Ovis aries: one gene and its partners. The protein of the gene in region 1 purifies or fractionates together with the protein of each later gene. This does not show direct contact. Links are inferred from orthologs where the notes say so. Each region holds a gene or a part of one and is shown on either strand. Other genes may lie near its edges. The genes, in order: LMNA, histone H2AX, KPNA6 and HNRNPM.

Region 1 (3,985 bases):
TCCCACAGCCCCAGGCATGCTCTTTTTCTCACAACTTTTGACTGCAGGCTCAACTCATCTGCCACAGGGAACGCAAACTTATATTTTACCATCACTGTTTTGTTTTGTTTTCCCAGAAGGGAGCATAATGTCACAGAAGCAGGGGTCTGCAGCCAGGACCCTGGGTTCTCTCTGCCATCTAGTAACTGTGTGGTCTTGTTAACTCTGAGCCCCCATTTCCAGGGACAAAGGGGACAATAACCACCTGTCAAGACAGCAGAGGGTCAAATGAAATAGCACAGAGATGCTTTGGAACCTATAAAGGGCCAGAGAAGGGTTGGTCCCTGTAGCTCATTTTCCCTGCTTGAGGTCCTTTCCCTCAGTCTGGTTTCCCCATTCCCCTACATTAGAGGCCTCCCCCTGAGGCTCCGACTCCACCTGACCTATACCTTTGTCCCCAGCAGTCCACTGGAGTGTAAGATCCCTGAGAACACTGAGTACACGGTCTTGTCCATCTCCCTGTCTCCGAGGTGAGCACAGTCTTGCGCAGACGGACATTAACTGCGTGCTTGCAAAGTCAGTCCTGCCCCTTTCCTGCTAACTCCCTCCTCCCCATCTGCCCTTGCCCCGGGTCCTGAGACAGTCACCCGTCCTCAGACTGGGTCTGTATCATCATGTGTCTTGGTATTCATGCTGAGCTCAGGGTCTAGCACAAAGAAGCTTCTCGCTAAGTGCTGGCTGAAGGAAGTCAGGAAGGAAATGCTTGCCCTCAGGCTCTGCCTCTCTGCGGGACTCATGGAGACAGCCCTGCACTGGGTGGGCAATGCTCATGTCAGAGCGTCTCCCCAGCAGCCACTGCTGGGTGCCCAGCTGTGCACCTGAAGCTCTGCGGTCTTTGTCTCCCTAGAGCAAGGGGGAGGCTGGGCGGCGTGACGATGCAGGTGACCGAGTGACATGTGTATGGGACCCTCAGAAAACACACAAGGACACCCACCAACAAAGACACCACGGCAGCCAGGGATAGAAACAACTAGTGTATTGATTCAGGGAGAAGTGGTGCAGATGGGAAACGGGAGGCAAGGGGCTCCTTAGTGTTTGCCGAAACCCACTGCCGCAAGCCCTCCACACCTCCTCCCCTTCCTCCCCTTCGGTGGGGCCCCAGCAGGCTCTCCCCTTTCCTAGTAGGCCTCCCTCTCCCTCCTCCCCTACACCCACGTGACCTTGATCGACCTCCAGTGACTGGGCAGAGCCCACCCCTGGCTCTAAAGCTAGGTGAAGGCAGGCTCAGACTAACCTTATTCTACCTTTCTACCTCCCGCCTCATTCCCATCTCTTGTCTAAATAACATACAGAAGAAGCAAACGCAGCTGGGACCTGGGAGAATCGAGTCACCCCGGGGCTGGGGAGAGGGGGGGCGGGGGCGGGCAGGCGGAGGAGCCTCTGCGGGGGGTAGTGGAACGATGGGGGCTGGCCCAGGGGCGAGGCTCAGCCCTCCTCCCTTGGAGGCTGGCAGAGCAGACTCCACACCTGCCTCTCAGGCACCATGTCACGGGGTCCCCGGGATGGGGGTGGCGGGCAGGGCAGAAAAGCAGAAACGAGGCTTTGTAAAAGCATCCCCTCTCCTCGGCTCCCTCTTTGGTTTTAAGGCAGATACGGAGTTTCTCGGAAGCAGGGAGAAAAGGGGGGGAATTGAGAGAGATGCGCGCGGGGTTTTTTGGCTTATGTTTTTCCTTCGGTATAAAACCACTGTAGAAAATAACTTCTCTTAGAAAAACAAAAAACAAAACATAGAAGAAAAAATAAAGGGGTATTTTTCTTTGGCTTCGAACCCCTTCCCGTGAGGCGCAGGGCAGGGGTGGGCATGAGGTGAGGAAGAAGCATGGGCCTCCGCCCCCACCCCTGCCTGGCAGGTCCCAGGTTACATGATGCTGCAGTTCTGGGGGCTCTAAAAGAGAGGAGAGAGGGAAGCGGCGTGAGTGGCAGTGCTTGGCCAACCCTCCCTTCCCCTCTTAACCCAGCCCCGCCCCTGCCCTCCAATCTGGGGCTCAGACAGGAGGGGCAGGACGCAGGAGCAGCAGCCGCTCTCTAGGATCTTGGGCTGCGGGGAGGAGGCTCCCACTCCCCCGGGCTGCGGAAGAGAAGGCTCTCCCTCCCACAGGGCAGCCTGGCCCTAACCCTGGAGGACTAGGGTCCTCTGCCCGCCGGGGGTTGGAGACAGAGGGCCGACTCACCTGGGTTCGGGGTCTGGAGTTGCCCAGGAGGTAGGAGCGGGTGACCAGGCTGTCCCCGAAGCTGCCACCCCCACTGCCCCCCACACTTCGGTAGCTGCGAGTGACTGTAACACTGGAGGCGGAGGAGCCAGAGGAGATGGATCCGCCCACCTGGGCTCCCGAGCCGCTGGCAGGCGCCTTGTCTGCGGGCTGCCCGCAAGTCCCGCACAGCACGGTGCGCGAGCGCAGGTTGTACTCGGCGGGGTCCCCCGAGCTGCTGCCTGCGTGGGAGCCCTGAGGAGGGAGACAAGGCTCAGGCCGGACGGCGAGTCTGGGACTGACCGCTCAGGCCCAACACCCAGGCTCCGCGCTCCGGCAGGGTCCAGGCAGAAAGGTGGGCTTCTGCGCCTAAGTAACCTAACTGGTGGGTGGTATAGGGCTTGGGGTGGGGAGCCTGGGCTGGGAAGAGGGGAAGGGAAGGACATGACAGGAGGAAGGGTCAGGAAGACTTGGGGACAGGCAGGGGACGGGAGCCAGGCTTTGACTCTTGTCTTAGCTACTCTAAGCTTCAGAGGGAAAGGAGAGAGAGTCAGCAAGCTTGTAGAGCGGCAGGCATGCAAAATTAATTGGGAGGAGGGTAGGTGCAAGAGACCCTTCTCCCAGGAAAAATGGGGAAAACGAGAGGCCATGCACGTGACCAGGATGAGGAGGAGACAAGAAAGGAGATGCAAGCGAGAGAAGTGTGGGCGGAGAGAGGCAGGGCTGCGTGCCCCGCGTCTGTCCTCCCTTCCCCGCCCGGGGGATAAATCCGGACTCTTGTCCACCGCTCCCATGGGAAGACTCCGTGGCATCAGAAGTTCCCGCTCCCTTCCTTACCAGAGTAGGGCACCCAGACACCTGGGTTCCCTGTTCAAGGTATAGGGAGGAGAGAGAAGAAAAGCCAGGGCAGCGAGTGAAGTTCCAAAATGTTCTTTAATGAAAAGATTTTTTGGCAGGGGGAGGCCAGGGAGAGGGTGTCCCCAGGCCGGGCTGGGTGCCCTGGCGTGGGCTGGGCCTCAGCGGCGGCTGCCACTCACGTGGTGGTGATGGAGCAGATCGTCTCCATCCTCATCGTCGTCGTCCTCGACCACGGTCACTGAGCGCACCAGCTTGCGCATGGCCACCTCCTGCCGCGGACACAGGACAAGGCTGAGGGTTAGGGGCTGCAGGTCGGAGAAAGGGTGTGCAGCATACCCACCCCAGTGACCTCCAGGAGCCTGCTCGCGCTCTGCCCCCCGTCCAGGCTGCCACTTGCTCTGTCCTCCGGGGCGCTGGAGGTAAGACACTTGTTTCTACTCCAGGGACGTGCTGTCCAGGTCTCTGGATAGGAGCATGATCTGCCCTTAACCATGCTCACTGTCTAACCCCCACCCCTCCTGCTGCAAGGGGAGCTATCTCTGGGTGGAGAGTTTGGGCCCTGGGAGAAAGCGGCCCTGAATTGGCCTGGGGGCAGCTGCCTCCGACTCTGGCTGCGGGGGAAGCCTTGTCCAGTGAGAGGCCAGCCTGCAGCACACTCACTTCCCCAGTGGAGTTGATGAGAGCTGTGCGCAGGCTGTTTCCGCAGCCCCAGGTGTTCTGCGCCTTCCACACCAGGTCGGTAGGGGGGCTGTGGGTGGCCCCAGCTCCTGCAGCCCAGATCTGGGGGATGGAGAATTCATTAGAGAAGGGCACTCACGCTCCAGCACACCCAGCCTCAGGCCAGCCCATCCCCACCCGAGGTCATCCGAAACACCCAGCCACTCACCGTCACCACCTGC
Region 2 (4,142 bases), on another chromosome or scaffold:
GACGGTGCGCCACAGTGAGAATGAGGATGGTGCCTTCACTGAATGTAACAACATGACCCTCATCAACTTGCTACTTAAAGTCTTTGGGCCCATGCATGAGAGAAACCTCACCCTCTTCCTGCTGCTGCTACAGGTGCAATGCTATTGGGGGTGTGGTTTACACTTCCTTGTCTCCCTCTCTCCAGGGTTCTTACTATAGTTCGTTTCTCCTTGCAGGTCGTTGGTAGTGCTGTCACCTTCTCCATTCGGTACCAGCTTGTCCGACTCTTCTATGATGTCTGAGGCCCCGATCCATTGCCCTTTGCTTCACAGCCTCCGGGGTTACTGACTCAGGCCAACATCTCCTGGACCAAGACTGCCAACTAGCCCAGGCCTCTCCCACCCTTCATTTTCCTCCAGATTTTGTTCTCAGCATTTCCTTTCCCCTGTGATTATTGACACGTGGGCCTGTCTCACTCTCTAATGACTGGTGATTGGACTTTGCCTATGGCTTTCTTCAGCTTGCCACTCTCCCTCTCCATCCCATCTTTGCTGCCTCCTAAGTTGGGGTACTGTAGCTTTTATGCAATTGCCCACAACTCTGACACTCAAGGAGAATGCTGGACTTGGGGACAGAACCCTGGCTGGGGATAGAGACACAGGTTCAAAGGTGACTTGACATTTGACTATAAATTAAGTATTCTGATGATTAAGAGCAGACCGGGGGCCAGGTGCTCCCAGTGGTGACAATAAAGTATTGTCTTTTTCTTCTTGTTCCTATAGGTATATTTCCTATGTGGGCATTGTAGGGTGGATGGGGAAGGTTGAAGGAGGTATTTCCTCGGAGAGGATGCCTATCTCTGTCCCATCCTTTTTTCTTTCTTTCTTTTTTTTTAAGCACATCAGGCGCCTCCTAGCAAGAAGTGATCAGAAAGAACAGACCAGACAGAACATGTTGAATAAATGTGAAATCTGCTGCTTGGGTGGCATAAAGGGCCATAAGATTGGGGTTATCTGTTCTCTGGGGTAGGGTTGGACTTTAAGTGGGGGTCTCATTCCTTCCCTTTTTCACTCTTCTTTTGCCAGGTAGGAGGAGGGAGTGACCAGACCTAGGACGGGAGGCAGAGGTAGTTGTGGTGTTGACTCTTTTCCTTTAAAAATCTTAGGCCTGCCTTGCGCAGACTTCCCAGACGCTCTTGAGGTGGCTTCCGATTCTACCCTTCTTGTCTTCCGGTTCTGGTCTCGGGCTATAGCGTTTAAATCTGGCGCGCTTCACTTGGATTGGCTACAGCCGAGACTGGCTGGCTGTCGGGTAGTCTCTGCGCCTCCTCCCGTGTTCCCCGGGCAAAGGGTTTTCAAATTCGGCCAATCGGCGGACGCGTTCCCTCAACTGGGGCGCGTCACCGAAGAGTTAACCTCAGCCAACCAGAGGCGGGTATTCGAGAAAAGAGCCAATCAGAAAGGCGCGGGGGTGTGCCCTGAGGGGCTTATAAGGGCAGCCCGTGGTCGCGCGCGGAAGCGTTAGACTGCGGCGGGTGGTTGTTCCTGTGTTTTGTTAGCCGTCCTCACCGCTCCTCTACCTCATACAGCATGTCTGGCCGCGGCAAGACCGGCGGCAAGGCCCGCGCCAAGGCCAAGTCGCGCTCTTCGCGAGCAGGCCTCCAGTTTCCCGTGGGCCGCGTGCACCGGCTGCTGCGGAAGGGCCACTACGCCGAGAGGGTGGGCGCCGGCGCGCCGGTCTACCTGGCGGCGGTACTCGAGTACCTCACCGCCGAGATCCTGGAGCTGGCGGGCAACGCGGCTCGCGACAACAAGAAGACGCGGATAATCCCCCGCCACCTGCAGCTGGCCATCCGCAACGACGAGGAGCTCAACAAGCTGCTGGGCGGCGTGACGATCGCCCAGGGAGGCGTCCTGCCCAACATCCAGGCCGTGCTGCTGCCTAAGAAGACCAGCGCCACCGTGGGGCCGAAGGCGCCAGCGGGCGGCAAGAAGGCCACCCAGGCCTCTCAGGAGTACTGAGGGCGCCCGTGCCGCCACCGCCCAGCCCTCCCCTCTACACCACAAAGGCCCTTTTAAGGGCCACCACAGCACTCACAGAAAGAGCTGGGCCACTTCGGGCTCCCGGCCTGGCGGCCGCGCTGTCGCCCCTTCCCGGCCCGCCCCTCCCCCCCGCGGCTGGCTCCCGCCGAAGCCCGGCGGAGGGCGTGCGTTCGAACGCCGCTCGGCCCCGGGAGCGAGCTCGTGACTCGGCCGGCTTGGCCCCAGAATGCCGATGGGCTGCGGGGAGGCCGCGGCACCTTCCGGAAAGCCGGGCCGGGGAGTGCGGGAGGAAGGTGAGTCGGTGCGGACGGTCGCCGCCGAGGCCGTGCGCTCTGCTTCAGCTCGGTGCTTAGTACAGGACTCGATTGTCGCCGCCGGCGGAGTCAATCGGTTGCTTCATTTCGTCCCAGGACCCCTTTTGTTGCCGGATCTCGGGCCTCGCACGTCCGCGTTCCCTCCATCTTCATTCGCAGGCCTGTGCGCGTACTGGAAGAAACCCTTCGCGGCGTGACCGTCTCCAATACTAGCGGGTCCTGGCGGCGTGGGGTCTGCGGGAGCCCTGCCTCCGGGCCCGCCCCTCCTCCCCACTCCCTTCCCGTCGGGTCCATTCCGCCTGCCAAGCACCTAGATACCAGCACAAGTCCGTTAATCCCCGTCTGGACTGAGCCGCCTTTGGCTTCGGAACTGGAATTTTGCAGCTAACCCATCCAAAACTAGTACTTTAGGTATTGGGGGGAGTTTCAGATGGACTAATTTTATTAAAGGGTTTTTTCCTAAAGAAAAGTGAGTTGTGTTCATTTTGCAAAAGGGTTGTAGAGTCGACTCTGTAGATACCTAAAGGTAGTGGGGGAGGGGAACCGATATAAGGCTTTACTGTTAACTGGAGCGACAAATTGTAGATTATTAAGATGATGGCTTTCTTGGCGTTCCCTGGGAGACACTCGATTCTGTCAAAAAATGGGAACTACTGACAGAAGGCGTTTTTCAGGAGAACTTTGAAAGGGTCCTAGCCTCAGAGATCAGGCATAAATAAAGAGTTTTGAGTTTGTCCTTCCTTTTCTGCAGCTCCACCAAAAACAAAAACCACCTTTAAATTTGGTTTATTAGTAGAACTGGTTACATTCAAAGGCTGTGGCTTCTTATTAAGATTTTTTTTTTCTCTAGAGAGGAAGCCCCCTCCTTGCCTCCTGGGGAGGCAAGGCCCCTCGGTGAGACAAGTCTCTGGAAGTCTCTGCCCCTGCAGTTCAATCCTGTGGGGGTAGCCACTCCTCAGGTAGCAGAGGGCTGGGATGTAGGCACTGGACACCAGCAAGGCAGGCACCTGTGCCCCACAGACCAATTAGTGGGCTTCATTGAGCTGCCGTGCAACATCCAAGATATTCTTGGCTCCTTTGTTCAGCAACAACGTGGCCAGGCTGATGCCCAGGTTCTCAGCAGCCAGCTGGGGTTGTCGTGGAATGTTCCGGGCAGTGATGCCCACCAGCTGTGGATCATCTTCAGGGCCATCTTCATGCTGGGCAAAGGAAGAAGGGTTGGATTTAGTGAGAAGGAGAGGGGAGGTAACAAAGATGTGTTTCCTCCCCCCTGCAGCCTTGGCACCTGGACAGGGACATGGATGGTGGTTTGCATGGTGTCTTGCATGGTCTCTGCGCCATTCAGACTCCAGACTCCTCCAGTCAGGTACAGCTGGGAAAGAAAATGGCTGCCTCAGTAAACTGTAAGAGAACTGCTTAGAAACCTGTGCTCTTCATGCTGGTGGATACACAGGGGAAACGCCAGAGTTCCTTCCCTGCCCTCCCATCCATCTCCCCCTGCTTACTTGCCCATCCTTAATAGCTGTATGCACTGCCACTGGCACACTGCAGCCTCCTTCCTGCAACAAGTTCTCCCTGTTAGCTTAAGACCCTTATCACCACCCTGTAACCAGAGCCCACAGAGACAGACAGACCCCTGCCAAGGATATAACGGAAAATGAGGCAGGGGCCCAGACCTGGGTCCTGTCCATTCTTAAAAGAATGAGTTAGGGCTAAATACACAGCAGGAGAAATCTCCCCATTACCCTTCCTAATATCCACCCCTCCACAGGAGCACAGGTCCTACCAGGTGCCTCAGGAAGGATC
Region 3 (4,629 bases), on another chromosome or scaffold:
GGAGGAAGAGAGCTGTCTGTGGACAAATCCCTCCCTGCCGTAGACTTTAGTCCTGGTGGGGGGCAGTGTGATCTAGGAGAGAAAGCACAGGCTTGAAGGAAAAATTCCAACTCTGCCACTTTCTGTATGATTTGTGGGCAACTTGGTTGCCTTTATTTTTTCTATAAATTGGAAGCAAATCATTATCCATTGGGTGCTACTGAAGAAAAACTAAATGGAATAACTTGACTTACTACCTGGGACATGGTAAAGTCCCAGCTTTTCTGTTATGGTACCTTTGAAATACTTAAATCTTTGGAGCCTCACCCCTACTTTGTAACTAAACCTTTAGGATCCCATGGGTAACCTCATGTTAGTCCTCTGTTAGTAATACCTCCATAGAGGGTGCAGTATGCAAGGTTTTTCTATACACAGGCTGGAGAGCTGGTTATTCTTTTAAGTATAGTTCAATGGCATTAAGCGCATTCACATTGTTATTTAACCATCACAATCATCCATCTCCACAACTTTTGCGTCGTTCAGAACTGAAACTCTGTGCTCTTCAAATAATAAATTCCCGTTTCCCCCTCCCCTCATCCCCTGGTAACTACCACATTACTTTCTGTTTCTTGCGAGTTTGACTCCTCTAGAAACCTCACGTAAACCAAACCATATATATTTGTTCTTTTGTTTCAACTTAGTTCACTTAGCATGTTTTCGAAGCTCATCCCATGTTTTAGTAAGTCATACCTTCATTCCTTTCGGTGGCTCAATGATCTTCCTTGGCACACCTGTGCCACATTTGGTTTATTCATGCATCTGTTGATCAACATTTGGGTTGCTTTCACCTTTTGGCTAGTGTGAGTAATGTTGCATTGAATATTGGCATACAAATCTCTGTTTGAGTCCTTGTTTTCAGCTCTTTGGGATATACACCCAGAGGTGGAATTACTGGGTCATGGAGTAATTTTATATTTAAAGATTTTGGGGAACCACCATACTGTTTAGCACAATGGCTATACCATTTTACCTTCCCACCAGCAATGTACCAGGTTCCAGTTTCTCCACATCTTTACCAACAATTGTATTGCCTGGATTTTTTAAGAATAAAAATAATTTTATTTTTATAATAAATTTTAAATGTTATAAGTATTATAATAAATTTTATATATTATATATATATATAATCCCCTGGGATCTGGGGGTTAAGAACCCGCCTTCTAATGCAGGCGACTCGGGTTCAGTCCCTATTTGGGGAACTAAGATCCCACATGCTGTGGGGCAACTAAGCCTGCATGCTGCAGTGAAGACCCAGCACGGCCAGGAAAACAGAATAACTGTCCTATGAAGTGTGAAGCTGTATCTCACTGAGGTTTTGATTTGCATTTCCCTACTGATTAATGATGTCTGACATCTTTCATGTGCTTTGGGGCCCCCTGCCTGTTTTCTTTGGAAAAATGTCTGTTTATGTCCTTTGCCCATTTTAAACTATGTTCAGCTTTTTTTTTTTTAATGTAATCTGGATATTCATCTTTATCAGATATATAATTTCAATATACTTTCTCCCATTCTGTGACTTGTGTAATTCACTCTGTTGAAAGATGTCTTTCGGTACACAAAAGTTTTAAATTTTGATTAAGTCCAATTTATCTCAATTTGTCTTTTGGTGTTCTAGGTCATTCTTAACTGTTCAGCCCTCCCTTGCCTCCTCCACCTCCTGAGCAGCTCCAAGGAGTCAATCCGAAAGGAAGCTTGTTGGACCATTTCAAATATCACTGCTGGCAACAGGGCTCAGATACAGGTAAAACAAGCAGTTGGGAGATTGAGGAACGGTGGTAGAAAGGCCTGGGATCACGAGACTTTGTGGGATATTGCCTTCTAGACAAAAAAATTTCTCTTTTGAAATTGGGATCAGTGTCTGCTATTGGTCAAAGACTCTGTGGAGCAGAAGCCAGGTTCTTCTGCACCACCTTAGGTATATGGGAACGACAAAGGAGAACTTTGAGGAAGGGGAATGTGTCTAAATCTTAGCTGATTTGTGTTCTGGATTTGCTTATTCTCCTTGAAATGACTTTTTTCCCCCATATCCCACCCCCGAACCCCTAATTATTCTCAGGCTGTCATAGATGCAAACATCTTCCCTGTATTGATCGAAATCCTTCAGAAAGCAGAGTTCCGTACAAGGAAAGAAGCAGCCTGGGCCATCACCAATGCCACATCAGGAGGAACCCCTGAACAAATCAGGTACCACAGTCCTTCCCATTGTTTGAGTGACATGTTTACTCTACCTGTCAGCTTATGTTACATACAGTCTCTAAACTGCCTTTGCTGGGATAAGTCTACTGCTGTTCAGTAGGGTTTAACTGATAAGCTGCTAGAGTGTAGCCTCTTTTCCCTCCTTGAGAATGGACACTTAAGACAGACATTCATCTCTCCTCTGCCTCTTTCTACCCACAAGAGAATTTAAATCTATATAATTCACAATTACTCATACAAATGAAAGAGAACCATTCGATGGCTCATTCGGAGCAGTTTCCTTGAGAAATCATTTTTGACAATGATACTTGAGAGAAGTAAATAGGAAAGCTGTTTTGTGTGAAGATGTTCTCTGATTCTGCTTTCCATTATGAACTTGAGTTGGAGTGGTGGGAATTAGAAAAGTACCTTGCCTTCAGCTTGTAGCTTAGGAAGGGGGAGTATATTCAGTTCAGTCGCTCAGTCGTGTCCGACTCTTTGCGACCTCATGAATTGCAGCACGCCAGGCCTCCCTGTCCATCACCAACTCCCGGAGTTCACTCAAACTTACATCCATCAAGTCGGTGATGCCATCCTCGGTCGTCCCCTTTTCCTCCTGCTCCCAATCCCTCCCAGCATCAGAGTCTTTTCCAGTGAGTCAACTCTTTGCATGAGGTGGCCAAAGTACTGGAGTTTCAGCTTCAGCATCATTCCTTCCAAAAGAACACCCAGGGCTGATCTCTTTTAGAATGGACTGGTTGGATCTCCTTGCAGTCCAAGGGACTCTCAAGAGTCTTCTCCAACACCACAGTTCAAAAGCATCAATTCTTCAGCACTCAGCTTTCTTCACACTCCAACTCCCACATCCATACATGACCACTGGAAAACCATAGCCTTGACTAGACGGACCTTAGTCAGCAAAGTAATGTCTCTGCTTTTCAATATGCTGTCTAGGTTGGTCATAACTTTTCTTCCAGGGAGTATATTCAGCATATTATAAAACCTTAGGAGAAAAGGATAGCCACTGAGTTAAGCTTTTGAGGATATAGGGTTGTGAATGGCATTTGGACAGGAAAAGGCATAAGTAAAAGTACAAAAATCAGAAACCTAGAGACATTCACGTTTGGCTGGAATGTAATATTCTTGGAAGGGAATAATGTGAGATGAAGCTGAAAAAGCTTAGGAGCCTGATTGTATTGAGAGTAGAGCTTGGACTGTGAAAATTTTAAGCAGGGGAATGATGTTTCAGAGTAGGTAGTACTGTTGCAGGGACACATTACAGACCAGGAGGAGAAATCCGTGGCAGCCTTCTACATGGAAATGAACTAAACCAGTAGTATCGATGGAGTGGAGACTGAGATAAAGCCTGGGTGTTTATGAGGGCTCAGGCAGGGTGAATTGCTAAGAGCATTGATGTGTGTAAAGGAGACCCAGGGACCCCAGAGCACCGCCCTGGCACCTCCCTTATCTTGTCTTGATTTAGAACTTTCCTGGTCTCTGCCCTTCAGGTACCTGGTCTCCCTGGGCTGCATCAAACCCCTGTGCGACTTGCTGACTGTGATGGATTCAAAGATTGTGCAAGTGGCCCTCAATGGACTGGAGAACATCCTTCGGCTTGGAGAGCAAGAGGGCAAGCGCAGTGGCTCAGGGGTCAATCCCTACTGTGGCCTCATCGAGGAAGCCTATGGTATGTGCCCTCTCCCCAAACTAATGTCTGCCATAAGCAGAGTTCAGAACCATAAGTTCTAGTTCAGAACCTCTGAAGTAGTATATGTATGTGAGGGTGTATGGTCAGCATTGAATGCAAAGTTTTATCCCACAAGTTCCATTTCTTCTGAGGAGCAATAGATCAGTTCTCTTTCTGATGGGCTGTACCCAGTAAGTAGGTTATGGTACAGATGCAAAAATAAAGCTCCAGAATTGATAATAGGATAAGGAGCTGGAAGGCATGTTTTCAGCTGAGTTTCTAGCAAGTTCCTTTCTTTTGTTTTTCCATTATAAACAAGCTTATTACAAGATACTAGATAAGTTCTCTGTGCTGTACAGGAGGTCCTTGTTGTTCATCTATTTTGTTAATAGTAGTTTGTATCTAAAGCTTCCCAGGTGGCACAGTGGTAAAGAATCTTTCTGGCAGTGCAAGAGATGCGGTTTGATCCCTGGGTCATAGAAAGTCCCTGGAGGAGGAAATGGCAACCCACTCCAGTATTCTTACCTGGAAAATTCTGTGGACAGAATGTGTCAAAGAGTGGGATGCGACTGAGCAACTCGCATGCACGTGCACACACGCACGCGCGCGTGCGCACACACACAGTTTGTATGTGCTAATCCGAAACTCATAATTATCCCTCCCCACTCCAGTATTCTTGCCTGGAAAATTCTGTGGACAGAGGAGCCTGGCAGGCTGTAGTCCATGGG
Region 4 (4,629 bases), on another chromosome or scaffold:
CAGAGAGACAACGTAGGAAGGGTTGTTAGGATTACATTGCGGTGAGGCAGGCTGCCCAGGACACAGAAGGTGTAGCTGGGAAAAAACAAACTGCAAAAAAATGAAAGCCAGCTTGCACTTGGGTTCAGAAGAGATTGGTTATTACCATATGGCCCAGCAGTCCCACTCTTAGGTATACACTACAAGAGAGCTGAAACCTGATACCCACACAGAAACCTGTACACAGATGTTCATGGCTGCATGGTTTCAGCTGATGAATGGGTGAATAAAACATGGTAAATCTAGACAGTGGACTGTTAGCCGTAAAAAAGAAGTACTGGTAACGTGCTACAGTATGGATGAACTTTGATTCTGTCTATTGGAAATGTCTAGAACAGGCGAGTTCATAAGACAGGTGGATTGTGATTGCCAGGGCCTGGAGAAAGGGTGAAGTTTATGGTGTGTGAAGTATAACAGTCAGAATTTTTATATAGGGTCATTTGTGACATCCAGGTGAAAGTCCATCCTGGGGCAGGGAAGGCATAGGTAGGAAGAGCGGGTAATAGTGAAGTCTTCCCGGGCAGGCCCACAGAAGGGCAGGGAGCCTGAGCACGGGAGCAGTGGAGGGGAGGGACTGTGGTAGCATGAGGGGCCGTGTGTCAGCAGGGCATGCAGGGCTGACCTGTGGAAGGCAGACTGAGGGTAGGGAGAGGGCAAGACTAGTTGGTGTCTCTTGAGAGAGGACTTTTCCTCACGTGAGGCTGTGGGGTCGAGGTGTCTGAAGGGCCGGCCAGGGCCGCCTCCTGTCTAGAGCAGTGGCTTATGCCTAACGCTTAGCCATCAGAGGTTGAATTGAATGGGAACCTAGACTAGCTTACTAATTCTTGTTTGCAGAAGCATAGTAGAGACAGATTTTTGAGGGGAAGTCCATGTTTCACGAATATAAGATGGGTTATCTGTTGAAAGTTAGCATTTAGAGATGGACCCCATTTCCTTGTCATAATCTGTGTGGTCTCTTATGGTAATTACCAGGAACAGGGTGCTGGCTCTTGTTGATTTTGTGCCTAGATCAGGGGGTGAGGGCTGCTTGGCAGCCAGACTGGCACCCTGGGCTCCAGGGAGCCCATTATCTGTGGCTTTTGGTTTCCCCAGAAAATCTCAGGGTTGACTTCAGTGCTTTGGGGAGTAAGTAACCTTGGTGAGCTCTTGCTGCTGTTTACGTGCAGTTTCAGAACATGGTTTTTATCAGATTAAAAATTGGAGAACTGTTGTTTTTTGTTTTGTTTTGTCAGTGTTTTTTTTTTAAGTGGACTTTGTTCCTATTTTTAAAAATCTCACCTGGTCTTAGCCTCCAACCATGATCACCCAGAGCATTGCAAGTATACTCTCAGGCCTTGTTGGCTGTTTTGAGATCAGCCTGTATTCTGTGGGTAGGGTACGATTCTTGGCTTAGGAAGCTTTCGGGTTCCTTGGATACACTAGCTTCATTACTCAAACCATCTGCAGCAGAGTCAGAGAATAGCCCAAGTCCAGTGTGTTAATTGGCTGATTTATCACATTGTTTTTCCGGAGAAAAGTCCTTTGGGTCACCAGGTTGAGAGATGAGGGTTGAGCGTATTTGTGCTGCTTGCTTTGTGAGGTCTCCAGTTGCCTTTTCTGATTAAACATTTCTCATTACACTATTCAGGGAAACAAGTAGGGGCTCACAACTTGTCACTGTGTGGGTTGTTGTTCACAGATCTTCTCTGTAGTTTTCATGTGAACTGATTTTTAGTTGCGCTCGTTTTATATAGATCACACATTCAGTCCCTGTTGTTCTAGGAGAGCTTATGCCTTTAAAGGGAGAGCTCCCAAATGCGTCAATGTTGCATCATGGATTAGGCCCTGGACTTGGTGGAGCAGATGGGTGGTGGGGCAAGTGTGACAGCTACTACACAGTAAACAAAGGGTCTTTTTAACTTTTAGGGTCAGGGCTTCCTATGGAAGTAGAATCAATACTCTGACTTTCTCATTTCCTTTCAGATGGACTTGGTGGTATTGGCATGGGGTTAGGACCAGGAGGGCAGCCTATTGATGCCAACCATTTGAATAAAGGCATTGGAATGGGCAACCTGGGACCTGCAGGTGAGAAGTACAGTGTGCCTCTTGACTGGGGATTTCTGGGGAAGTTAGTTATCTTAATAATAATTTTTGGGATGATTGGACATTGAGTAGTTCAAGTGGAATGAGGCTCATATTGGGACAAAATTAATTCCTTCCTTATTTATTTGTGATTCATTTTAATTGGGCTTCCCTGGTGACTCTGATGGTAAAGAATCCGCCTGCAGTGCAGGAGACATGGGTTCGATCCCTGGGTCGGGAAGATTCCTGGAGAAGAAAGTGGCAACCCACTCCAGTATTCTTGCCTAAAGAATTTCATGGACAGAGGAGCCTGGAGGGTCACAAGAAGTCAGACACGACTGAGCGACTAACTAATGTTTTGATTAAGGCAGTATTTTGGATTTTTACCAAGTGACTACTTCTTTCTAAAGCTTTTGTGCTTTGCATTTTATCCTCACAAGTACTTCTGAGCTGAGATACTCAGTTAAGCCTTTGGATAAGAGGAGGCAAGCCAGAGAGATGGTCTTGCTCAAGGTCACACTATCAGTTAGTGACAGAAATTCCTGATCTTGGGACCACCTCACTGCCACCGTCTATCACCCAGAGGCCTGTGGGCTGTCACCTGGTGTTTACAGGGCTTCTTGAGGCAGGGGCATTGTCAGATGCAGAAAGATACGGAGGGCCTCGTCGCATGACTACATAGCTCTCCTAGGCCTGTTTAAGAAGAAAAGCAATAGCTAACGAATAAAGCTTTGACATGTAGAATGAACTTTGAACTTCACTTTTTGGTGTTTTCGTGCAGTGAGGCATTCATATATAATTTAAATATACTGCGTTTTTATGGCCTCAGACTTAGGTTTTGCTTGCAGTTCTTTGAATTGCAAGATGGATACCCTTAACCCTACTACGGTCAGTTCTGCTTTTCCTTTGTCTCCCTCCCAGATTAGGCTCTGGGGCTGATGAAAGAGTTTAAGGTGCCTTTACTGATCTGAACACCACATCCCCTGACCTGACACCTCAGAGGAAAGTCTAGGGTTGAGGAGAGGGAAGCCTCAGTGTTTTTAGGAACTGCTCTTTTTTTAGAGAATTTTACCTTTAAAGGAGATTTTTGAATCTACTTCTGTTCCCTGAAGTAAGCTTCTAAAAAGTGAACGTGCCCTAGTCTCTTCCTAATACTTAACATTTCATGTCTAACTTGGTCATTTATTGAAACTCTGTGAACACTATCAGATTTTGAGTCACATGATGATTATGTAGTTAAAGGCATAAGTTGCTTCCTTGGAATGTACTAGTTTGTCAGTTGAAATAGAAGAGCCCCTACCCCATTTCCCCCCCCCCCCCCCTTGACAAGTAAAATATATTTGGAGTCAGGGATATTTTTTGATGTTTGGAATTTCTTGTGCTTTTTAAGTTCAAACATTACGGCTTTGACATAATTTTAGTTTGCATTGACTTTTTCTTTTTAAGGAATGGGAATGGAAGGCATAGGATTTGGAATAAATAAAATGGGAGGTAAGACAACTCAAATGAAATATGAATTTAACTACTTTTAGGTATGGTTTCCCCTCTTTTCTTCCCTTTTCCTTTTCTCTTAAGCCCTGCATGAAATTTTCACTTGGGTTTCCAAACAGTTTAAGTCTAGAGATTACTTTTACCCATTGATCTTTCTATTGGGCCACTTGGCTTTTGGTTCTGGCTTTTTCACTGACTAGCTCTGTGACCTTGGGCAAGTCACTCCATCTCTCTGGGTCTCTCTTTGCTTGTCTGTTCATTGACTGGATTGGATCAGATCAGCCTTTTGAAGATAGTGATTTTTAAGTAAGGGCTCTAGCCTTTTTTCTCCAAAAGCCCTTGAGACTTGGTAAGTTTCTGGCAGCACATGCCCTAGGTAACCTTGTGGAAACATTTTCTATTCCTGTTCACTTTTGAGTCTTGTTAGGCTGCTGCTAAAATGCAAATATGTCTCTTTCAGGCATGGAAGGACCCTTTGGTGGTGGTATGGAAAACATGGGTCGATTTGGATCTGGGATGAACATGGGCAGAATAAATGGTAAGATCTGTGTACCTATCTACCCTCTGCTGGCTGTTGGCTCTAGGTGACCTTTAGGCAGCAGACTGATTTTTGATAAGTGACTTCACCCTCCCACTTTTGTGCTGAATCTGATAACTTTGAGTTGCCTTAAATAATTTGTGTTCCAGAAGCTAGATTTAGTGGTAGGCAAGTGTTCATTTTCTCAGTTACTAAACTCTTGAGGTTTTCTGTTTCAGATCTTCCCAGTAATTGTCCAATAAAACTTTAAAAACTTTAAAGCATTCCTGTGGCCTCCAGCACTTGTCTTCCCTGGAGTGCTGGACTGGGTGAGGCTTGATCATCTGCTCTGATGTCTGCAAATTGGGAGTGGATGCAGCATTTGTTTAATTTTGTATTTATATCATGTGAAATTTGGTGTACTACTGTTTAAATCTTACAGGCCTCCCATCTGAGACATAGTTATGTCAAGTATAATGATAACACTGTTATTTCATTTAGTCCTTGCAAGAACCATATGA

The links.
Region 2: the proteins of LMNA (region 1) and histone H2AX purify together in Homo sapiens (affinity purification with mass spectrometry; 3 studies listed by BioGRID and IntAct, with this or other methods). This does not show direct contact. The link is inferred for Ovis aries from reciprocal best matches to the Homo sapiens genes LMNA and H2AX.
Region 3: the proteins of LMNA (region 1) and KPNA6 purify together in Homo sapiens (affinity purification with mass spectrometry; 4 studies listed by BioGRID and IntAct, with this or other methods). This does not show direct contact. The link is inferred for Ovis aries from reciprocal best matches to the Homo sapiens genes LMNA and KPNA6.
Region 4: the proteins of LMNA (region 1) and HNRNPM fractionate together in Homo sapiens (co-fractionation; 3 studies listed by BioGRID, with this or other methods). This does not show direct contact. The link is inferred for Ovis aries from reciprocal best matches to the Homo sapiens genes LMNA and HNRNPM.

What each region holds. Positions count from the first base shown.
Region 1 is NC_056054.1:106,153,689-106,157,673, reverse strand, and holds the end of LMNA (lamin), read right to left. Parts: coding exon 3,973-3,985; intron 3,867-3,972; coding exon 3,747-3,866; intron 3,356-3,746; coding exon 3,266-3,355; intron 2,484-3,265; coding exon 2,211-2,483; intron 1,925-2,210; coding exon 1,898-1,924; 3' UTR 1,001-1,897; downstream 1-1,000.
Region 2 is NC_056068.1:29,401,992-29,406,133, reverse strand, and holds histone H2AX, read left to right. Parts: upstream 1-1,496; 5' UTR 1,497-1,569; coding exon 1,570-2,001; 3' UTR 2,002-2,805; downstream 2,806-4,142. Other genes in the region: DPAGT1 (UDP-N-acetylglucosamine--dolichyl-phosphate N-acetylglucosaminephosphotransferase), read left to right, coding at 1-133, 217-282; HMBS (porphobilinogen deaminase), read right to left, coding at 3,418-3,708, 3,842-3,895, 4,123-4,142. UniProt on the Homo sapiens protein: Variant histone H2A which replaces conventional H2A in a subset of nucleosomes. Nucleosomes wrap and compact DNA into chromatin, limiting DNA accessibility to the cellular machineries which require DNA as a template.
Region 3 is NC_056055.1:235,356,613-235,361,241, reverse strand, and holds part of KPNA6 (importin subunit alpha-7), read left to right. Parts: intron 1-1,654; coding exon 1,655-1,780; intron 1,781-2,095; coding exon 2,096-2,223; intron 2,224-3,722; coding exon 3,723-3,901; intron 3,902-4,629. UniProt on the Homo sapiens protein: Functions in nuclear protein import as an adapter protein for nuclear receptor KPNB1. Binds specifically and directly to substrates containing either a simple or bipartite NLS motif.
Region 4 is NC_056058.1:14,825,757-14,830,385, forward strand, and holds part of HNRNPM (heterogeneous nuclear ribonucleoprotein M), read left to right. Parts: intron 1-2,001; coding exon 2,002-2,103; intron 2,104-3,546; coding exon 3,547-3,591; intron 3,592-4,051; coding exon 4,052-4,129; intron 4,130-4,629. UniProt on the Homo sapiens protein: Pre-mRNA binding protein in vivo, binds avidly to poly(G) and poly(U) RNA homopolymers in vitro. Involved in splicing.